Linked DNA regions of Mus musculus: all the other regions are reported to be linked to region 1. The links are microRNA targets in miRTarBase. Many come from high-throughput screens and were not tested one by one. Region 1 holds a microRNA gene; each other region holds the end of a gene's coding sequence.

The links. The annotated mature microRNA mmu-miR-3074-5p reads GUUCCUGCUGAACUGAGCCAGU and lies in region 1 at 2,017-2,038, opposite strand. An mRNA with a match to its seed (bases 2 to 7 or 8) in the 3' UTR can be bound and repressed. Matches are read on the target gene's strand: a 7mer-m8 pairs with bases 2 to 8, a 7mer-A1 pairs with bases 2 to 7 and ends in A, and an 8mer does both.
Region 2: the mRNA of Ndrg1 is a reported target of mmu-miR-3074-5p. Seed matches in the 3' UTR shown: 8mer at 1,273-1,280.
Region 3: the mRNA of Piezo2 is a reported target of mmu-miR-3074-5p. Seed matches in the 3' UTR shown: 7mer-A1 at 3,861-3,867.
Region 4: the mRNA of Adamtsl1 is a reported target of mmu-miR-3074-5p. Seed matches in the 3' UTR shown: 7mer-A1 at 671-677.

The regions. Positions count from the first base shown.
Region 1 is chr8:84,206,857-84,211,931 of GRCm38, forward strand. Mir3074-2 (microRNA 3074-2) reads right to left here and starts at 2,051; the gene lies at 1,969-2,051. Zswim4 (zinc finger SWIM-type containing 4) reads right to left here. Exons shown (of 14, transcript NM_172503.3): 14 at 4,086-5,075. It overlaps Mir23a (microRNA 23a), which reads left to right and starts at 1,662; the gene lies at 1,662-1,736. It overlaps Mir27a (microRNA 27a), which reads left to right and starts at 1,816; the gene lies at 1,816-1,902. It also overlaps Mir24-2.
Region 2 is chr15:66,926,643-66,931,717 of GRCm38, reverse strand. Ndrg1 (N-myc downstream regulated gene 1) reads left to right here. Exons shown (of 16, transcript NM_008681.2): 16 at 610-2,400. The coding sequence ends at 851. Among named protein-coding and RNA genes, the nearest start is that of Ccn4, 38 kb to the right of the region's middle.
Region 3 is chr18:63,006,998-63,012,072 of GRCm38, forward strand. It overlaps Piezo2 (piezo-type mechanosensitive ion channel component 2), which reads right to left. Exons shown (of 54, transcript NM_001039485.4): 54 at 3,216-4,803. The coding sequence ends at 4,551. Among named protein-coding and RNA genes, the nearest start is that of Napg, 32 kb to the left of the region's middle.
Region 4 is chr4:86,425,471-86,430,545 of GRCm38, forward strand. It overlaps Adamtsl1 (ADAMTS-like 1), which reads left to right. Exons shown (of 29, transcript NM_001368621.1): 29 at 372-2,912. The coding sequence ends at 478. The region is part of intron 2 of Gm33730 (a long non-coding RNA gene); the gene reads right to left. Among named protein-coding and RNA genes, the nearest start is that of Gm33730, 13 kb to the right of the region's middle.

The DNA.
Region 1 (5,075 bases):
AACTCGGGCCCTCTGCAAGAGCAGTAGCCACTCTTAACCACTGAGTCAGCTCTTTATCTGAAACAAGGTCACTTGTGTCACTATGTAGCCCTGGATGGTCTGAAACTCCCTACACAGACCAAGCTGGCCTTGAACTCTTAGAGATAGTACTGTCCAAGGCCTGGTTCTTGCTTTCCTTTGCCTTTCAAGTGCTGGGACTAACAGTGTGCACCACCATTCTTAAGTTTATTTTTATTGTCTGTTTGTGAATGTTTGCTTACGCGTACGTCTGTGCACCATATGTATGCCTGGTACCCACAGGGGCCAGTGGGGAGCGTTGGAGCTCTTGGGAATGGAGCTATAGATAGCTGTGCTTGTCATGTAGGTTCTGGGAAAGAAACCTGTCATCTCTCCAACATTGAAATTCTTTAAACAATTTTTAAAAATTGTGTGTGTGTGTTCCCAAGTGCAGAGATCAGAGGACAACTTGCAAGGGTCCGTATGCTTTTCTTCTTCGTGGTTCTTGGGTTTGAGCTCAGGGCATTGGGCTCCATAGCAGCTCTGCTCACTTGCTGGATCAGCTTGCTGGCCCCTGAAAACTTTAACTGGCACGCAGGACACTACTCTACATTGGGTAGGCCCCAAATTTTGTGGCTTGCCCTGGTACTGGGTGCTAAATACCTTCTCTGTAAGTTTTCACTGGCCTTCCTAGTAGAAGGTTTGGGGTTTTGTTGTTTTATTTTTGTTTTTCTTCTATTTAAGACTAGGGTCTCAAACTGTAGCCCAGTTAGGCCTAAAACTCATCATGTAGCTTAAGCAGGCTTTTGACTCCATTCTTGGCAACCTTCCTGCCTCAGTTTCCTCAATGCTGAGATAAACGTGAGCCACCAACTGCAACTGTTGTAGTCTGCTTTACAGATGGGGAAACTGAGGCTTGGAAGGCCTAGGGGAAACTTTACTGAGGTGTTATTGTTGGGGTGCATCGGCCTGCTTCTCCTTGCTTGGGCCCTAGGTGGTGTGGGGTGGGGGTGGGGTTATGTCTGAGCTGGCTGGGGAGGAGAGGGCTGAGGTGGGAGGCCCTGGAGTTTCCTCCTGCCCTTCAGGCTTCTAGGAAGTGGCGCCAGCTGGGGTGAGGTCACTTCCTCCCTCCAACCGTCCACCTCCCTCAGCTTCCTCTCCATGGCCCCATTTGGCCTGCTTTGGGCTCAGGGCTGTGGGTGGGGATAGAAGCAGAGTGGGAAGCAGCTGGGAAGGCTCTGCAGCCCCTTTGGCCTTAGGGCTTCAGGCACCTCCCGCTTTGTAGGGCTGGGGTAGAGGCACTGCTGGGTGCCCAGCATCCAGCAGCCTCGCTCCAACCTTCCTACGGATCGATGCTCCTCTTTTTTGGGAATGCTTCTTCCCTCTTGGAAGTAGAGGAGGGCTAGGGTGTGGATCAGCAAGCTGAGTTTAGATTCTGTCCCCAGCACCACTTAAACTGTGTGTGGTGAGGTGTACCTATAATCCTAGACTCCAGAGGTAGAGGCAGGAAGAACTGGTGCATTCGGAAACCTTGTGTTCAGCTATGTGAGACCCAGCCTGGTCAAGATAGGCAGGCAAGCAAGAATGCTCCAATCTCACTGTCTCTTCTTTCTCTCTTTAGGTGCTACACTCCGCTCCCACCTGCTGCCCCCCTCACTGTGCCTCGGACGGCTGGGGTTCCTGGGGATGGGATTTGATGCCAGTCACAAATCACATTGCCAGGGATTTCCAACTGACCCTGTGCTCTGCCTTGGGGGCTCCTGTCGCCAAGGATGTCTGTCTTGGGTACTGGGTAACAGAGAAGCCTATCATGACAACTGGCCTGAGGAGCAGGGCTTAGCTGCTTGTGAGCAAGGTCCACAGCAAAGTCGTGTTCACAGTGGCTAAGTTCCGCCCCCTGGACCCCATCTCCTCAGGCCGCTGCTGCCCACCCTGCTCTGCCTCCTGGCTGGCAGGGCTCTGCCTCTCTCCGGGCTCCGCCTCCCGTGCCTACTGAGCTGAAACAGTTGATTCCAGTGCACTGGCTCAGTTCAGCAGGAACAGGAGTCCAGCCCCCTAGGAGCTGGCAACCCTGCAGAATGTCTGCCGTGAGCAAGACCTGGAAACAATGGGGTAATTAGTCCAACCTAAGCCCCGTTGTCTGCTGGAGGCTCAGCCTCTAAGCCTGCATCTGGGTGTCCACCTTGAGATTTCTGTGGTTCCCCAAAGCAGATAGATGGGCGGGTAACCCTTGCATTAAAAGCCAGTTATGTCCCCTCAGGGCCTGGAAGCCCTTCTTTTCCTAAGTCTGGTGGGGCTCAGGCACCACCCCTTATACATACCATCTTTGAAGTCAGTTACCCAAGAGGAAGCTGCTTTAGGCCCTCTAACGGTTAAATGCCAACTCTCTGCTTCCGGAAGAAGGCACTGACCTGATCCAGTGTGCCTAGCAATCCCATGGGGTCTGCAGCTTTCTGCTGGTGACAGCGAGGCAGGGAGCGAGGTCCACACAGGCCTCAGGATATGAACAGATCCATGCCCCCCCCCCCCATTGGCCTGTTGAAGTAATCTCCAGGCTTGGAAGTTAAAAAGTTGCCTACTACCCACAAATGAGACTGCATGCAGACTAATTGGAACTGGCTGAGTTACACTTCCCAGACCATACAGTGTCCTCTCCCTACTCTGGGCAGGGGCAAATCGAAGCCTGGGTGGAAGAACAGAGTTGAAAGCTTGTATTGAATGTTGTTCTCCAACTAAATAAAAGCTCCACAGCCTCATTCCGTAAGGGCTGACGTCTCTTCATTCCCGCCTCCCACATGTGTGTTGCTGGCTTTTTTCATTTCTCTTGAAACAGCATTTCTGTGTAGACCAGGCTGACCTTGAATCAAACTCCTCCAGTGTCTGGAGTTTGGGAATACCAGCTGCACCACTATATCTACCACACCCTGGGCTCCTAACCTGCATTGCACCTATCCCCAACCTTGCTCCACCTGCTTCTAGGAAGGTGTAAATATAGTTCTGTGGTCAGTAGGTGCTGCGACCTGAAGATCCTGGGATCCTTTGGGGATGGCTTGAACGGGAGGGATAACCCAGACCTGGGGTGTATGAGACCAATCTGTGGTCACCCCAGTTCCATGAGGGAGTATGTTACAAGAATGTACTCTGCCTATGCTGGGATGCACTGACTGGCAAGATGCCAGGGCTTAAGGACGGGCACATATGCGCGCACAGACAGACACGCGCGCATGCACACACACACACACACACACACACACAGGGCTTAAGGACGGGCACATATGCGAGCACAGACAGACACGCGCGCATGCACACACACACGCACGCGCGCGCGCCCGTCTACACACACACACACACACACACACACACACACACACACGCACGCACGCACGCACGCGCGCGCGCCCGTCTGCGCCAGAAGGGCTAAGGGGCGGATCGCCTCTGATCGGCTCCCTGGAGCAAAGGAACGCACCATGAACTATGGCCACACTCATAGTCACAGCCAGCTCCCATAGTGCCCCACAGAGGCAACACACACACACACACAGCTTCCAAGAGAACGGTCCTAAACAATGACCCTGTCAGACACAGCTAAGGACATAAAGAACCGGAGAATGAGAAGAATGCCCAGGCCGTCCGCTGGATGAATCCATCTAAGAACGGGAGTCTCATCCACAGCCCAAAAATGCAATGGGCAGGTCACTGGGGACACAGGCGTCCCCAGCTGCCCTCCGCACCTGGTGAGACCTCCGGAGCTCCGAATGACGTTGTCTGGAGCCAGACGCCCCCTGGTGGTCATTTCCTGCAATGAAGGACAGTGCAATCTGGGTGCATTTTCCAAAAACCTACAGACTCTAGGTTTGGGCGTTTTAAGCCTCCTGACTTGCAGAGATTATGACATGCAGATGGAAAAGCAGTAAAGCCACCAGCAAGAGGTGGCTCTTCGTGTCACCACGATGCCATGAAGAAACCAGCAGCCTCTCCTGTCCCATTCAAGTTGTGCCCAAAAACCGAGATGGAAAATTTTTTGGTTAATTGAGCAGGTGGTAGGTACCCCTGGCCCCGGGTGTTTGTGTTAGCAATGCAACCCAGTCTTGAAGTTAAAAAGAAGTTGTGTTCAATCTTTTTTTTAAAAAAAAAGGAAAAAAAAAGGAAAAGAATACAGTATGGGGTTCAATAAATAAGAAAAAAAGTTACAAAATGATGCCAACTTTTTCCTTAATATACAAGAGAGAAGACAGGTGCGTCTGGGGTGGAGGCTCTCCCTTCTCTTCCTCCCTGGGCCAAGGCCTGGGATACAGGAAGGCCTGTCAGCAGCTGGGACTTGAGAGAGATGCAGACATGGGGAAACTAAGGGAGTGGGGAAACAAATGGAGGTGCAGAGCAAGAGGAAGACAGAACGGGGTCCCTGGCTGTCTGCCTGTGCCTCCCACAACAGGCTGGAGGGCAGCCTGACTCCTGAGTTGTGTATCCAGTTACTAGTGGTGGGGTCTGGCCAGCAGAGAGCTGTCCCCAGCCTACCCTGTGACCTTGGTGCCCAAGAGAAGACAGGCCCTGGCTTGACAAGGGTATTTGGGGGTGAGGTATGTGGCAGAGGCCCAAGACCTCTTAATATCCTTCAGTGGGGTGAGGCATTTGTGCTGGAAAGCTGGGGCTGGGGGCGCAGGGCAGTGGGACAGGAGCCCTGAGCTGTGGAGAGGGGAGAAACACAGTGGGAAGTAACTACCCTGATGTGAAGTGCCTAGGCTCCGGCCAGCTCCGGCTCTGGAGCATCTGCTGCACTGAGTTGGAGGCCTAACTTCACTCTGGCCCAGCCCTTCTCCTGGAAGTCCCAGCTGACCCTGGGAGTCTGGAAGAGCCAGAGCTTGCTTCTTCCGTGTGAGGTGCCCAGGCACATACTCCCTGCAGGGTCTAGTTAGCAGTATGGCTTCGGATCCTCAGATCGCATGTCCCGTTTGTCTGCACACTCCTAGGCACACACCTGGAATGATGTCACCCTCTGCCTCCCACCTCTGTAACTTTACTGCAAGTAGCCATGGGCCTCCTGTTTGAGGAAGGTGGGCCTGGGACACCCATGCTCCCGG
Region 2 (5,075 bases), not on the chromosome of region 1:
GGTGAGCATGAATTTGGGGGGAGCACTGCCACCCTAGATAGGAGGAGGATTGTCTTGTATCCCATTCTGTCAGTCATCTGCTGTGGTATGCGCAGTTTTGGTCATGCTAAGGTTTGAGAGCTAGCAGGCTTTTGGAAGGCAGACAGATGGCTAACATTTCCTTAGGAACCATGTGGTGAGACCTTGGGGGTTATTCTTGGGATGTGCAGGAACTAACCTTGCTGGCTTCCACATTCTACTGCCTACTGACAGTACATTTAAGAGGAGGTTACACGAAGTCTTCATTTTGCAAATGAAAATGGGAAGGCTTCAAGTGTGATGATCTGGTGGTCACCTAGCTAATAAGCACATAACAAACTGGGGGTCAGACCCAGGTCATGGCTCAGGACTCTTGCCATGTAATTGTTATGTGCCTTTCCCACATATTGGACTTTACTGTCCTCTTTGTGAGTGACACAGAAGGTAGATGGCTCACAGGATGAAGACAATAGAGAAGTGGTGTTCAGCTGGGCTCTTACGATTAACTGTCATGGCTGGCAGCCAGGGGTAGAGTCCCACACCTGTAGAGGCTTCCTGTATCCTAACCATATTTGTCTTCTGTGTTCCCAGTGCCTTCTGCCAGCATGACTCGCCTGATGCGGTCCCGCACAGCCTCTGGCTCCAGTGTCACATCCCTGGAGGGCACCCGTAGCCGCTCCCATACCAGCGAGGGCCCCCGAAGCCGCTCGCACACCAGTGAGGGGTCCCGTAGCCGCTCCCATACCAGTGAGGATGCCCGTCTCAACATCACCCCCAACTCGGGTGCCACCGGAAACAATGCCGGGCCCAAGTCCATGGAGGTGTCCTGCTAAGCAATCTGTGCATCAGTCACCCTGGACTGGTGGCCTCTCCCTTAGCCCCCAACCCTTGCCTGCCACCCTACGCTAATGCGGTATTAATCTAAAGCTGCTTTTGTAAGAATGAACTCTGGCGGTGGCAGACCCAGGCTGTTCTGACTGCCTCCTGGGACCAGGGTGGGTGGTGGTGGACCAAAGGCAAGAAGCAGTTCAGCGTACTGTTCTGCTAACAAGTGGCCTGGTGGACCCTCTCTCTACCCTCAGACACCAAACTGCCAAAACTAAGAAATAGATAGCTGTAACACTGCCTGGCTCCAAGCCCAGGCTGATCCAGCATTCTGGTTCATAGGCGTTTTGCCAACCTGCCTACTTCCTGTTTCCTCCCCACTAAACTCATTCCTGGAAACAAACTTCTGTTTTGAAAGGAGAGAGAGAGGCAGGAAAGTTGGGCGCCTTATTTTAAGTAGAGAAACCAAGAAAGGAAGAGAAAAAAAGGCAGGGTCTAGGGCAGGTAGAGGAAAAACACAACAAGTCTACTAGGCTCACTTGAAGGAATTGATTTTAAAGTTCTGGACACTGAAACCCACAACCTGTTTTTCTGGCAACCTTTTAACGTGCAAGAAAAACTGGTAACAAACCCCAGGCTTTATAGAGAAAGTGATCCAGCAAATGTGGGGCATCAGTGATTTAAGACTCTTGCTATGCAGTCTACTGTACCCCGCTCCCATTCCACAGTGAATGAGTGGATGACACCTCTGTCCCTCGGGAAGATGGTTTTGATTTGTTGTTGCATTCTTTGAGGCAGAGGGAGAACCCAGCAGGTGACAGGGGTCCTTGTCTGGGATGAGTCTTTAGGATGGGAAGGGTGGGGATAGAATGGCCCTGGGATTTTGAGGACTCATGGTAGGGCCAAGTGCTAGAACCTGGTGGGTGTGATTTCATTGATCTGGAATCTTGTGTGACTGAGTCACACCTTGTCTCCCATAATTGATGTCTGGCATTGATTTGAAACTTGATAGCTGAATGTCTCTTAACTGGCCCATCGCTGGTTCTTCAGAGAGAACCGTATGTTCTAGTGGGGGAAGGACTGGTTTTGGGTTCTGTACATTCCACGGGAACTTGCTTCCCTCTCCTGCCCCTCCTGCTGACTGGGTTTGTAGCATTGGCCTCTTAAGCAATGCCAGCCTAATGCCCATGCTCCATACTACTGCCTTTTGATTCTTACTGTGGCTAACCTTGAACCTTTCCTATAGGAAATGTGATCAGATCAGAGACACTTGATCGTTGGGAGTCAGCCCTCAAGGCCTGGCGACTTCCAGGATCTTGGAGTTGCTAGAGGAAAAGTAGTTATGCCCTATAGGCGGCATGAGAGACAAGGGATCAGTTTACCTGCCAACTCCTACCGTGGAGGAGGAGTTCCACTGACCTTGTGTAGAAAGATCAGGAATCCAGGCCAGGGTGATTGAATGCTGACAAGAAATCACTGTATATGTCTCTCCAGGGCAGTTTCTTAATAAGATGTTTGTATTTATTTCCAGACCAATAAATTTGTAACTTTGCAGTGGCTTGTGTCTTTTCCTCTCCCTATGAGGGTGGGTGTGGCATTGTGGAGCAGGAAGGGGTGGAACTTTATCCTTGACACCAGAGCCCCTGCTGCGTGCCCCTTACTTTTGGAGTTCTTTGCCACAGAATGACACTGACCAGTAGAAATGGCACTGTCTGTCATATAGGTTTCTAAACTTTCTGGTAGTGATATTGAAGGAAGAAGAATCAGGCGAAAATAAGTTAGGCATCCCTGTAGCCTAATATATCAACTAACATCATTTCTATGCAAGCAGTCAGGCACATCTTTTTCTGCAGTAAGGAATTCAGTGTGCAGGCAGCCTTGCCACACACCAGGCACCTAGTAGCAGGTCACCATAGTGATGAGAGAACACTTTTCAAGCTGGAAGAAGAGGGAAGCATATAGGTTAAAAGTGACTCCTGTTCTCACGTTCCATGGGAGATGTTTGCTTTGTATGTTTGGTATATATGTGTGTTGTATGCATTGTTGCACTTGCGTGTACGTTTCATGGCCTGAGGTTGGCATTGGGTGTCTCTCTCTCTCTGTATTGCTCTCCATTTTACTGTTTTTGAGACAGACACAGCTGCATGTTTGCATACCTGGTGCTACCCAGGGTTAGTTTGTCTGAAGGTACCTCTCCATCTGAAGAATCTATTTCCCACCCGGATGATTGTTTATGGGAGGCCACACAGTAATGGTTGGGAGCCTGTAGAGGGTGAGTGTTGTCTGCTAAGTAACTGCTTCCAAGAAAGTGAGGAGGACAGGGAGAGGAGCTCCTGGGCACCCCAGCATATATGATGACTCTGGCTGGGGACCAAGGTCATCTCACCTCTGAGAGCCCATGCTGTGATGTGGCCCTTGACAACATGCAACAAAGACACTTGACTTGGAAGATGGCTCAGTTGGTAAAATACTTCCCTTGCAAGTGTGATAACCTGAATTCAATTCCCCATAGCTCACATTAAAAAAAAAAAAGCTAGGGTAGCAGGCTCTGTGTTTAACAACATTGGCTGTTGTTCTAGAGCACCCAGTTCAACTTGAAGCACCCACATAGTGGTTTATAAGTGTCTGTAACTCCATTTCCTGGGATCAGTACCCTCTCTACATAGGCACAGAACACACATGTGGTACAGACTTAAATGCAGGCAAAACATCTACACACATAAAATACTTCTGGTGGTACATGCTTGTCATCCCAGTGCTGGAAAGGTAGAGATAGAAAGATCACTGAGGGTACTCTGGCCAGTTAGGTTAGCCCACTTGATGAATTCCAGGCCAAAGAGAGGCTGTGTCTCCAGCATAAGTAAGACAGAGCAAAAGGACAGATTATCCTCTAGCCCAAGAGCACAAAAATGTATTCGCACAAGAAGGGGCACTTGACTTCTGTGGCCGTCCTCCAGCTAAGGAAAACCTTATACAGATCTCACGTGAGTCTTGGCAATGGTGTTTTATAACAGCAATAAAAAAGTAACTAAGATGGGCTCCAAAGAATCAGTGAAGTTGAGTTGATGAATTAACAGTGACATCATTTATTGACGGACAAGTCCATTGGTACAGATACCATTGTCATTTATCCTTGCTCTGAGAAGTGATCCCTGAATGGTCAGCATTCCTAGGAAGCAAGGAGATTTGCAGATATGAAAAGTGCTGATGCATGCTGTATACTACCTTATTTTCCTCACTCATAAACTAGTGATTATTTTTTTAAGAATGTATATTATATTTATTGAGTGTGTATTTGTGTGTGTGCAGGTGTGTGTGTGCTTGGAGGCCTGATGTCAATGTCAGACATCTCCCTTCATTGCTCACTATCTTATCCTTTGAGGCAGAGTCTTTTACTGAATCCTGGACTCATAGATTTGGCTAGACTGGCTGGCCAGTGAGCTCCAGGGGAGTCTTCACTCTCCAGAAAGAGTAGTTTTCAAACTTCAAAGAGACTGAATAGCTTTAACGAGCCATTTTCAGTGGATTATTATCTCCCTGCCTATAAATGGCTCACACCCTCCCCTATCAATGTCTGGGGATGCGGGAATATCAGTGAGCTCCAGGGATCAGAACTGTGGGCCTGAAAGGTTTTCACTGGCTCAACGTACCTTTGTTCTTCCATTAAATGGTCCTGCTTGGACTTGCAAGATACAATAGCTTTGATGTGGTTTTGGGTTACCCTCCCTTCCCTCTGCTGGCACTTCTTATATTATCAGTGAGCGTGCTTCTAGCAGCTCTTGCTCCTTTTACTGAAATGGATGAAGAAACCCACATTTTTTTCTTGTATTATATAAAAGGCAGAATAATGAGGCTTAGAGTGTAGAGCCTGAGATATGCTGTGTAGAGTGTACCAAATGGTGAAAAGACTGTGCCAGCATCTCCTTAGAATCCACATGTGATAGAAAGAGACAAGATTCCAGCAGGGCATGGATTTCTAAGTACAAGTGTCACTAAGGTATGAATAAGTAGGTGGACAATAAGAGAGATAGATAGATAAATAGACAAATAGATAGATACATAGATACAGATACATAGATACATAGATGATAGATAATAGAAGATGACAGATAGGTAGATAGATGGATAGATAGATAGACAGACAGACAGACATATAAATAAATGGAAAGAAGATAATTGATAGGTAGGTGATACCTGGAGATATAGGAAAGATTTATGATAGATAGATAGAT
Region 3 (5,075 bases), not on the chromosome of region 1:
TGGTCATGGTGTCTGCTCACAGCAGTAAAACCCTAAGCCAAGAATAATAAATGAATGGCCATGTGGTCCTCCAGCCTCTCAACATGTAAAGCAAGGGTGCTTCCTAATGATAGTGATGCCCTGCTTCTGCAGTAAAACCACACATCCTCTCAGGAGAGAGTGACCTTCATCTGACCTTAAGCACGGAAGCTCTCTGGAGACCTCACACTGTCTCATGATCATGGAAAAACAAATCAACACTAAGAATGTTCGAGGTTATAGTATTGGCTTTGGGATCCAGTCTGGGTTCCCATGGGATATAACATGCATGATACAGCATGGAAAGTGTGTTCCTATTACAGCATAATTGGGAAGATATCTTCCCAGGGCATTAGGAAGGAACCTGAGGCAGATAACCTAATTCCCTAGGGCTAGGGAGAACTCCCTTACAAATCCATATATGGGTGTGTGTGTGTGTGTGTATATATATATATATATATATATATATATACATACATACATATGTGTGTGTATGTCTGTGTGTGTGTATATATATATATATATATATATATATATATATATATATATATATATATATATATATATATATATGTATATATATATATATGATGTGAGATTTTCCAAAATTCCACAGAAAGATACTGAAGGAGTTTCAGAAGGGAAGACAGCCATATGTCTGAGCAAGCAGTTTTGGAAAATGTCTGGGTATAGGCCTGTCAAGAATCTGCTCCTGACTTTTCTCTTGTGTTGGGGTAAAAGCTCTACTCCATACCCAAGTTGGTTTGATTTCTTTTGTTCTTAAGAGGCACAGCCACAAAGCAAAGCACACTGTCTGCTTTCATCACTTTTCCTGAGAAAGGTCTTTCTTATGCATATGGCCTCACCCTTTGTAGTTCTGAGGATTGAACAACCAGGCTCTGTTCAATGAGGACCAGGCTCCATCCTCCCTCTCTGGTGTTCCACCCTCACTCTCTGTGCACCAAGGACCAGGCACCAGCCTCCTTCTCCTGCAGCTTTTCTTTAGGAAGAAATAATTCTTCAACTCAAACAACTCAAAATCCAGGCAATAAAGCTAAACCAGATGGCGCAAGGCTGGTTTATCTATTTACTTATTTTTTCTTTTCTGAACACATTCACATCTCAGAAGGAGCATGAGTGGAAGGTGCTATGTTGCTTTGGGAATGAATGGGGACATTTAACTGGTAGTCCCTGCATTCTTTCCCTGGGGGAATAGTCAGGAATCCTTATAATGTCTTCTTGCTCTGAAACTGGAAGCTTTCTTTTAACAACCATTCCTTTTAACTAGTTGATGGGATCAACTACAGGATAAGCCATGGGAACACGTGTGGTACTTGTTTGTGATTTGGGTCTTTGAATGCAGGTGGCATCCTCCTGCAGCAATCCAGGTACAAGGAAGTCTGCGTTAAAGCTTGGGGTTTAATCTATTGCTTTCATGTCTTACATGTAAGGTCAACTCCCTTACTGCTGCCACTACTGCTGTATGCCTTTGCTGATCTTAGAATTCCTCTTCTTCAGGCTTAAGTGGCTCTCCAGAGAGGCTCCAGGCTTTCAGCACCAGGGTGGTTCTGCCAGCGTACTCATAGACTGGGAAGCTTCCAAGTTCTCAGACTGTCCAGTGTTAAATAGCCATTGTTGGACTCTTCAGACAGTACGGTGTAAGGCAATCTAATAAATATCCCTTTAATATATACTCATTCTATTAATCTGTTTCTCCAGGAAACACTAATATGTGAAAAATCTTTGGTTTGTACATGTCTTTATCAAAACAATACTGCATGAGTACTGTATGAATACTGCTATGTCATTCTGTTCTGATCAGCTATAGTGGCGAAGAGAGTAGAGAACAATTTTAATCCACATCAGCACCCAGGCAGGTCTACACATCTGTTTTGGAGTGTACAACAGACTAACTCCCAGGAGAGCGTTTGATAAATGAGGACTCTTACGCAAGGTATTAGGTGTTGTGATTAAGTACTACCATGCATCTCTTTATCTGCTTGGTGGACTATAATTTCATCTATCTATCCAACATAACAGAAATGCTCTTTGGGAAGAGCCTGGTATGATAGGTCCATTGCTGCAGTAATGGCATTCATCTTTTGGGAGTCACCAACCACTTTCTGATTGGATTTGAGGACAAGGTGGAGCTTGTGCCTGGTACTGTTTGTTAACTGGGCCAAACACCCATGACAATTATAGGCCCTAGAGGGGGAACTCAAAACTATTCCTCTGATAAATGGACAGCTATTAAACTGCCCCCCAAGTACTTACCTTTACACCCACAATTTATTGCATCTCTCAACCTTCATCAAAGATTCTCTTTGCATTTGGATGAAGATGAATTCAGAGATCCAGTATTGGAAGAGGGCCTCATATTCTACCACTGAGCCACAATTTTAAGCTTTTTAACTTTTAGTTTAGACAGTGCATCATCACCAAGTTGCTCAAGACAGCATTGAATTCACTCTGGACTGGTATATCGTCTTTTTCTGTTGGATATCAGGGTTAAAGACTGCATCTAGAGGACTATGGATAGTTCGAGTCTAGTACCAGAGGCTTAATCATTCCCTACACCCCATCCTTTCTTCTACATCTATATCCCAAACTATGACAGAACTACCCCTGTGCAGGAAGAGAAGAGAGAGATGCCGTAGACAGTTAGCAGATTATCTGGCTGAGCCACCCAAGCAGCAACCTTTGGGGTCCAGGAGGGTTTTATGCATTCTCATTAGTAGTTGAAGGCAAGGGGCTTGGAGTCTGAAGGTGAGCTGCTAGGTTTGTAAACTCTCATAAGTGACCCACTTATAGGACAGTTGCAAATTCTAGTTTCCTGGTGTCATTAGAGATCTACTACTAAGTGACTCGATTTTATGGCTGCCGTGGTGGACTGTAACAGTTTATGTTGTGAGGCTGTGGTTCAATGGGGACAACTGTATACTACTCATTTCTCCAGAAGATGCTAGACATTAATTAGTTGAGCTCTGCTATTAAAAAGTTTCCATAGCAACTGTCAGTGCTTCCCCTTTGTGAATTGCTTTGTCGCTCTTGTCCCTCCATAGCACCTATCTGACAAAGGAAATGGACAAGTGCTCTCTTATTTTGATTCTTAGCATGCTATATCGCGAGCAATCACTTTACCTCCTCCTTGCAGAGGACCAGCAGATGAAGGCATGCATAAATAGAGCACTCTTGGATGACTTTGCAAGATGTGCTTTATTTTAAGTCAGTCCTGAACCCAGAGTACACAGGAGTGGTTTTTGACATAGTCTAGCCCATTCAATGATTCTTCTCAGAAACAGCATTTTTTTTAATATTGAATGAAAAGTACATTTCAATCATAAATTTTCATGCTACAATGCTATCTCAATGAAGAGGTTGTATTCCCAATGATAATAATTTAAGAAAAAAGGCCATCATTATTTTATTTCCCCAAGCTCGATATACATATTTCTTTCATAATTATGAACTTAAAAAACCCGTCTTAGATGTAAAAATGTGAATCGGAATATGTAAACTCTTTGATATGCCTGAAAAACAGCAAGGAAAATGTCACACACTGGAAAAAACCACTGCCTTAAATCATGGAAATGGGAGGAAGCATGAGGGGATGGGGAGAGGTGGGGAGGGGCGATGGGGAGAGGCAGAAGAGCCCTGTGGCCTCAGTCACTGAAGTTACAAAGCCGAGGTGTTCCCATCAGGCTTAGCTGATCACTGCTGTCCTGTTGCTGTGGCAACAGGAGCCATCCGAAGCAGAATGATCACCACTACCTAGAGTGGTTACCACCCGACCTCACAAGCAGAGGTGTCCACGTAGTTGCTTTGCTGAGTGTTTTTTTTTTTTTCCTGAGAAGTCACTGGTGTTCAATAGAAAGATTTCTTACCAGTCTTCAGTTGAGATAAGGCAGTAGGAGTATCACTAATGTTATCTTTTTGCTTAGAATGAGGCTTGTCCTTCCAGCCACATCTTCTGGGTCCAGGGTCCCCTCTTTCCTCTTGAAACTCAGGCAGTGCTGCTGCCTCCTATTGCTGCTGCACATCTGGAGTGTGCTGAGGGTTCGTGGGGTCTCTGCTCAGCAGTTGCCCCAGCGGTGAGAAGAGCTATGTGTTGCACGTTGACCATGACGCCAGGAAAGGTGAGGACCCTGCAGAGTTAGACACAGGTGCCTTTCTCCAAGGGAAGGGACACTACTGGAACCTTTCCCATAACTGATTAAGAATGCAAGATACTCTTGACTAAAAACAAACAAACAAACAAAAACAAAACAAAACAAAAACCCAAAAAACAAAAAACCAAAACTCTAAAAGCAATGAGCCCTGATTTCAGAGACATGGGAGTACGGAGAACTTCAACAGCGCCTTCTTGTGTGAGGTGACTTGCATGAACAAGAAAATCAACTTCTTTCAGCCACCTGTCAGAAGAGAAATGGTTGCCGCCCAACTAGAAATGCTTAGCTCTTAGAGTATTGTGCTTTTCTTAAAAAAAAAAAAATTCAAATGTTAGCTTTATTTGCAGTCCAGGTCTTAAGTGATCAGTTTGTTTTTTCTCTAGTCCACTTGATCATGGTTTCTGGTGACCTGTACAGGAATATCAACTTGGCGTAGAGGTCTTCCTCCAGTTCCAACTCCCCTGTCTCCCTCACGAGGAATATATCTGTGCACAACTTCAAGATTCTGTCCACATTTGGAAGCTCTTCAAACATGATGGAATGAGAGATCCCACTGAAGAACTCACGAACAAATTTCCCAATTACAAGGACAACAGATGCATACAATCCCATGATACTGAAAGAGACAGCAAGGAGAAAATGATGAAGATGGTTAGAAAGACACGTTGTCTATGTTTTGACAAAATCCAACACAAGGTGTAGAAACACAATTGCACATACTCCTTTCAAAGTAGCTCTTTCCCCTCTGATAATCCTGTCCTGAGATCTTTCTTCCTTCCCCTCCCCTCCCCTCCCCTCCCCTCCCATCCCCTCCCCTCCCCTCCCCTCCCCTCCCCTTCTCTCTCTCTCTCTCTCTCTCTCTCTCTCTCTCTCTCTCTCTCTGGGTTT
Region 4 (5,075 bases), not on the chromosome of region 1:
AACAGAATTCTGTCCTCCTGGGCACATCTCTCACTAAAAAAACAAAAGCCCATAGTGGAAAAAGCAAGCGGGGAGATGAGAGTATTGCAAGAGGAAGGAGATTAAATCTACCAGTCTGAAGTAGAAGCAGCTATCAGAAGGAAGCAAAGAAGGCCCTGAGATAGTCCCCCATCAATCACAGATGGTGGGGAGGGATTGGCAAAGGGCTGAGTGCTGCCAGAGGGAAGGCTGTCCAGAGAGCTGGAGAGCCATGGCTGGGGAGACCCTACAGGCAGCTTGCCAAGTGCCTAGGCTGCTCAACAGCAGCTGCATCCGTGAGCCTCTGTTTCATATCTCCTTTCTGTCCCCCTCCTCCCCTCCTGCTTTCCCAGCTGAGTGCAGAGACACCACCAGGTACTGCGAGAAGGTGAGACAGTTGAAACTCTGCCAGCTCGGCCAGTTCCGATCTCGCTGCTGTGGAACGTGTGGCAAAGCATGAAGACAGGGCACGGGGATGAACTCTACCCTGGCCACACAAAGGACTCACACAACCACCTTGGACATGACTTACGCTTTCTTCCTTTTATTTATTTATTTGCCCCTCCCCACACACCCATGTCCACCTGCACCCATGCTCCCGAGGACTGTGGCATGTTTTCTTATTCAGTTAGCTGGAAGCTAGTGTGGAGAACAGGAAAAAAAAAAAAAAAGATGTCTAAAGGAGGGTTGCAGAGCAGACAGCAGCTCCCTTGCAGAGCTGGCTCCTTTCTGATCAGGGTCTCAGAGACACAGGAAGACCAAGCCATAGTCTATAGGGACAGCAAGGAGTTTATAACACATAGGTACAGGCACAGGCCAATCAGGAGTGCCGTTCCTTTGTTTCCTGGTGGTAGGAACAGGGGGGGGGGGGGGGAAGCAGCATACTAGAGCAGAAACCAGGCCAGACTCCAGTTCTTCTGGCAGTGGTGTGGGAAGACCAAGAAAGAAGAGAACTGAGCTGTGGGCAAGAGGGTTATGCCAAAAGAGACAAGCAAAATAGGCAGAAGGCATGCCGCTATGCAGAAGACAGAGGCCGGGAAGAGAGAAGGAAAGCGTGCGCACGCACCTCAGTGGGAGGAGCTTGCTGGCAGGACAGATTTTCAAGCAGTCACGTGAGACCCATATGACAAGCCTGTGCCCGGGAACATGTGCACAGTCCTCGAGCTTCAACAGAGTTGGGGAAGGGTATTCAGAGTCCTCTCAGGGTACCCGCGCTGCGTGACACGGGTGACACTGCATGACATGCCCTTTGTGTGGTTATACAAGTGTGTCTACCCCTCTTCTGTCAAGTGACTTTTGTGTCTGCAGCTGTGGACAACCCAACAAAGGGTCAAGGTCAGCTGTGCAGTAAGGCTGCCCCTAGCATCTCCCTACTTAAGTCAAGGGTCACTAGCCATGAACTGACTGCTGCCGAGGGCCAAGGGCATTTGATCGTGAATGCCCCTGGTTTTCCATCCGAATGACTTTGCTGCTCCTTGTTGGGCCAGGGACTAGAATCATAGCTCACAAAGGATTCATTAAGCAACCTGTTTGCGGGCAAGCATCTACAGGATGTAGAAAGCCTTACTACCAGATCTCACCAGAGAGGAGGAGAGGACGGAGGGGCCCTGCACACCCACAGTGCGCTTTCTCTCCCAACCCTCACACATTGGGCCTGGGAGCCCTTCCTGAACCACAGAAGAGCTGCCAATTTACGCAGCAGGCTGGGAGTAGGGAGTGTGATCAGGCGCTATGGCAAAGCTAGAAGTCAGCTAAAGACTCACAAGACAGCCGGAGAAAGCTTTGTAACCATCCTCTCGACTACACAGATACTATGGTAATTAGCACACCAGACTGAGTGAATGGACCACTCAGCGGGCTAAGCAGCACACACAATTCAGCAACACACATCAGCTATGGCAAAAACAGAAGCCCTTGGCAAATCCTCAGTCTGCAGAGAAGCTTCAACAGTAATAATCGCTTCCTTCCTGAGCAGCCTCAGTTTAGCAGATGAGGCAGGCAGAGCCCAGTAGCCATCAGATAAGCCGCCCCTCGCAAACACACTCACCAAATGCTATCACCCCAGGGCCACCACTGACATCAGGGCTGCATTTCCCAACCAGCCTGGAAGTTAAGTTTGAAAGAGGATGTTAATCTGTGTCTTCTTAGATGCGCTATGGACAGTTAGGGTAGGCCTCTTCCTCATCACAAAAATAGACTCTAAGAAATTGTGTTATTAAAAGTCAGTGTAATGTTTATTTAAAATTAAAGAGAGTGTTTCTATGTATATCTTTTGTGAATATTTATTAGGATTTCTTGTATTAAAAAGTGCAATATTAGTAATTGTACATTGTCATCCAGAAAAACAACTCTTTGGGGGATTTTATTAACTTCCTGCAGCTGTGTTCCTAAAAACTCTGTGGCAATAATTGTATTCTTCCTAATTTTAAATGAAACAAAACAGATGTTTAACTCTGATCCACTGTGTACAGAGTACCTTGTAAAAGCTAATGTGGGATTGGGGGAGAGCAATGGAGTCAATTTGTTTGTGACACTAGTTATACATAAAATGAACACAAATTCTGTAATACTAATACATAGTACAGTAGCTATTAAAAATTGGTGGTCAGTGTTTGAATTTTTCTCAAATGCAGGCGTCTTCCAGCTCTGCCACCTGCCAGAGTGTGAGGTTGGAAGTGCCTTTCAGAACTAGCTGGAGAGCATAGGTTTGGAGTGGAAAGCAGTGTGCTCCTTGCATGACATGAATGTACATTTAATATTTGTTCTGTGAATTGTGACTCAGCAGTACCACAAATTATCGGGGCTGCTGGATAATGCGGAAGAAGACACTTCCTTCTCTAAAACACAAAACTGTATTTATATTTTTTTGTACAGATAATACAGCTTATTTATTTAAATCATAGTGTCGGTGTCTCTGTGAAACTCATCATTCTCTTCACACCTTATGCAAAGGGTGAAAGAAATCCTTGATTACAAATTGAGTGGTTCCCAATCAATTATAAAGATCTTACTGAAATGAAGGAAGTTATGGAATCCATGCTCAGAAAGGCCAGCTCAGTAAAGGAACTTGGAGGAAGGCAGCGGCAGATGTGTGCACATTCTGGTTGAGGTACTATCTAACAAAAGGACCAGTCATCTCATTGACAGCGCTACATAGGAAGCTACAAGAAAGCCACAAGCACCTTTTGGAAGAAAAGCAAGGGACAGTGTCTCAGGATAGATGAAGACTCCATGGTGGCTTCTAGCCAGCAGGTATGCCCAATTGGAGGCAGCCATGTGATGGAATTTTAGTTATGCACTGTAAGTGGAAAATAAACTTCATGGATCACACTTAATCCTCCTGCAACCCTGCAATTATTCTCACATGCATACGACCACCTTGAAAGACAGACAGACAGACACAGAGACAGACACACACACACATTTCTCACTGCTCTGAGATTACTAGTAGATAACCGTTATGCAACATTGTATGCATCATTATGAGAGCTGTTGTCTTCTCCTGTCCTAAAGTGAATTTGCTTTGGTTTACAGGACTGATTCCTACATCTCTATCTTTTACAGATTCTTATAGCAATAGTACTGCTGTGCGGTGTGCAGAAAAGCTGCAAGCACATTTGTAAAGTTCTTCCTAGCCAGATATAGTCAAAGGGCAGTAAGTCCCCAGGCCTGGATGATGTCCTCACAGGATCATTGAGAGAGGGGCTCCAGAACTGCACCCCCAGTCCCCACCCACTACACACACAGCACCCTCAAACCCCAACACATCCATTCCTATTTAGTAGTGTTAACAATCCACCTGAGAGCTCTTCGTACTCCCATTATTTTCTCAGTAGCTTTAGGTTTTGCTCAAATAGATATATTTATAAATAAATCTATAAGTAATCACCAGCAACCAATGTCCTACAGCAATACTGTGGAGAGAAGCCAAAGATATCAAAGGGAAAACCCAAGAAGACTCAAGAAACAGGGAGGCCTCAAACATGATGTACAGAAAAGTCTCCAGCATCAGTCACAGATCCCAATAAGAAAACAGAAGAGTCCTGCCAAGATGCCATAGACTACAGGATAAATGCCTGGAAACTTGACCAGCAACTGTCTTAGGGTTATTATTCATCATTCTAAAGACCTTGCTGGTCCTTATAAGCAATCAGAACAAACTAAAGAAACTCAGAAATAATATAGGATATTAGGATGAGAACCGTCAACTGTCACCAAAGTCATTCACACTTCTGCCTCATCATCTATAAAGGCAGTGCACCACATAGGATGCAGAATGTTAAAAAATGGTAATTCACTCAGGCTCAAGAATTATCAGGTGCTAACATTCACGTGGAAACTGAACAACTCTCTACTCAATGATACCTTGGTCAAGGAAGAAATAAAGAAAGAAATTAAAGACATTTTAGAGTTTAATGAAAACAAAGCCACAACATACCCAAACTTATGGGACACAATGAAAGCAGTCCTAAGAGGAAAACTCATAGCCCTGAGTGTCTCCAAAAAGAAACTAGAGAGAGCATACACTAGCAGTCTGACAGCACACCTAGAAGCTCTAGAACAAAAGTAAGCAAATTCACCCAAGAGGAGTAGACAGCAGGAAATAATCAAACTTAGGGCTGAAATCAACCAAGTGGAAACAAAAAGAACTATTCAAAGAATCAACCAAACCAGGATCTGGTTCTTTGAGAAAATCAACAAGATAGATAAACCCTTAGCCAAACTCACTAGAGGGCACAGGGACAGCATCCTAATTAACAAAATCAGAAATGAAAAAGGAAACATAACAACAGATCCTGAGGAAATCCAAAACATCATCAGATCCTACTACAAAATGCTATACTCAACAAAACTGGAAAACCTGGATATAATGGACAACTCCCTAGACAGATACCAGGTACCAAAGTTAAATCAGGATCAGATTAACGATCTAAACAGTCCCATTTCCCCTAAAGAAATAGAAACAGTCATTAATAGTCTCTCAACCAAAAAAAAAAAAAAAAAAAAAGCCCAGGACCAGATGGGTTTAGTGCAGAGTTCTATCAGACCTTCAAAGA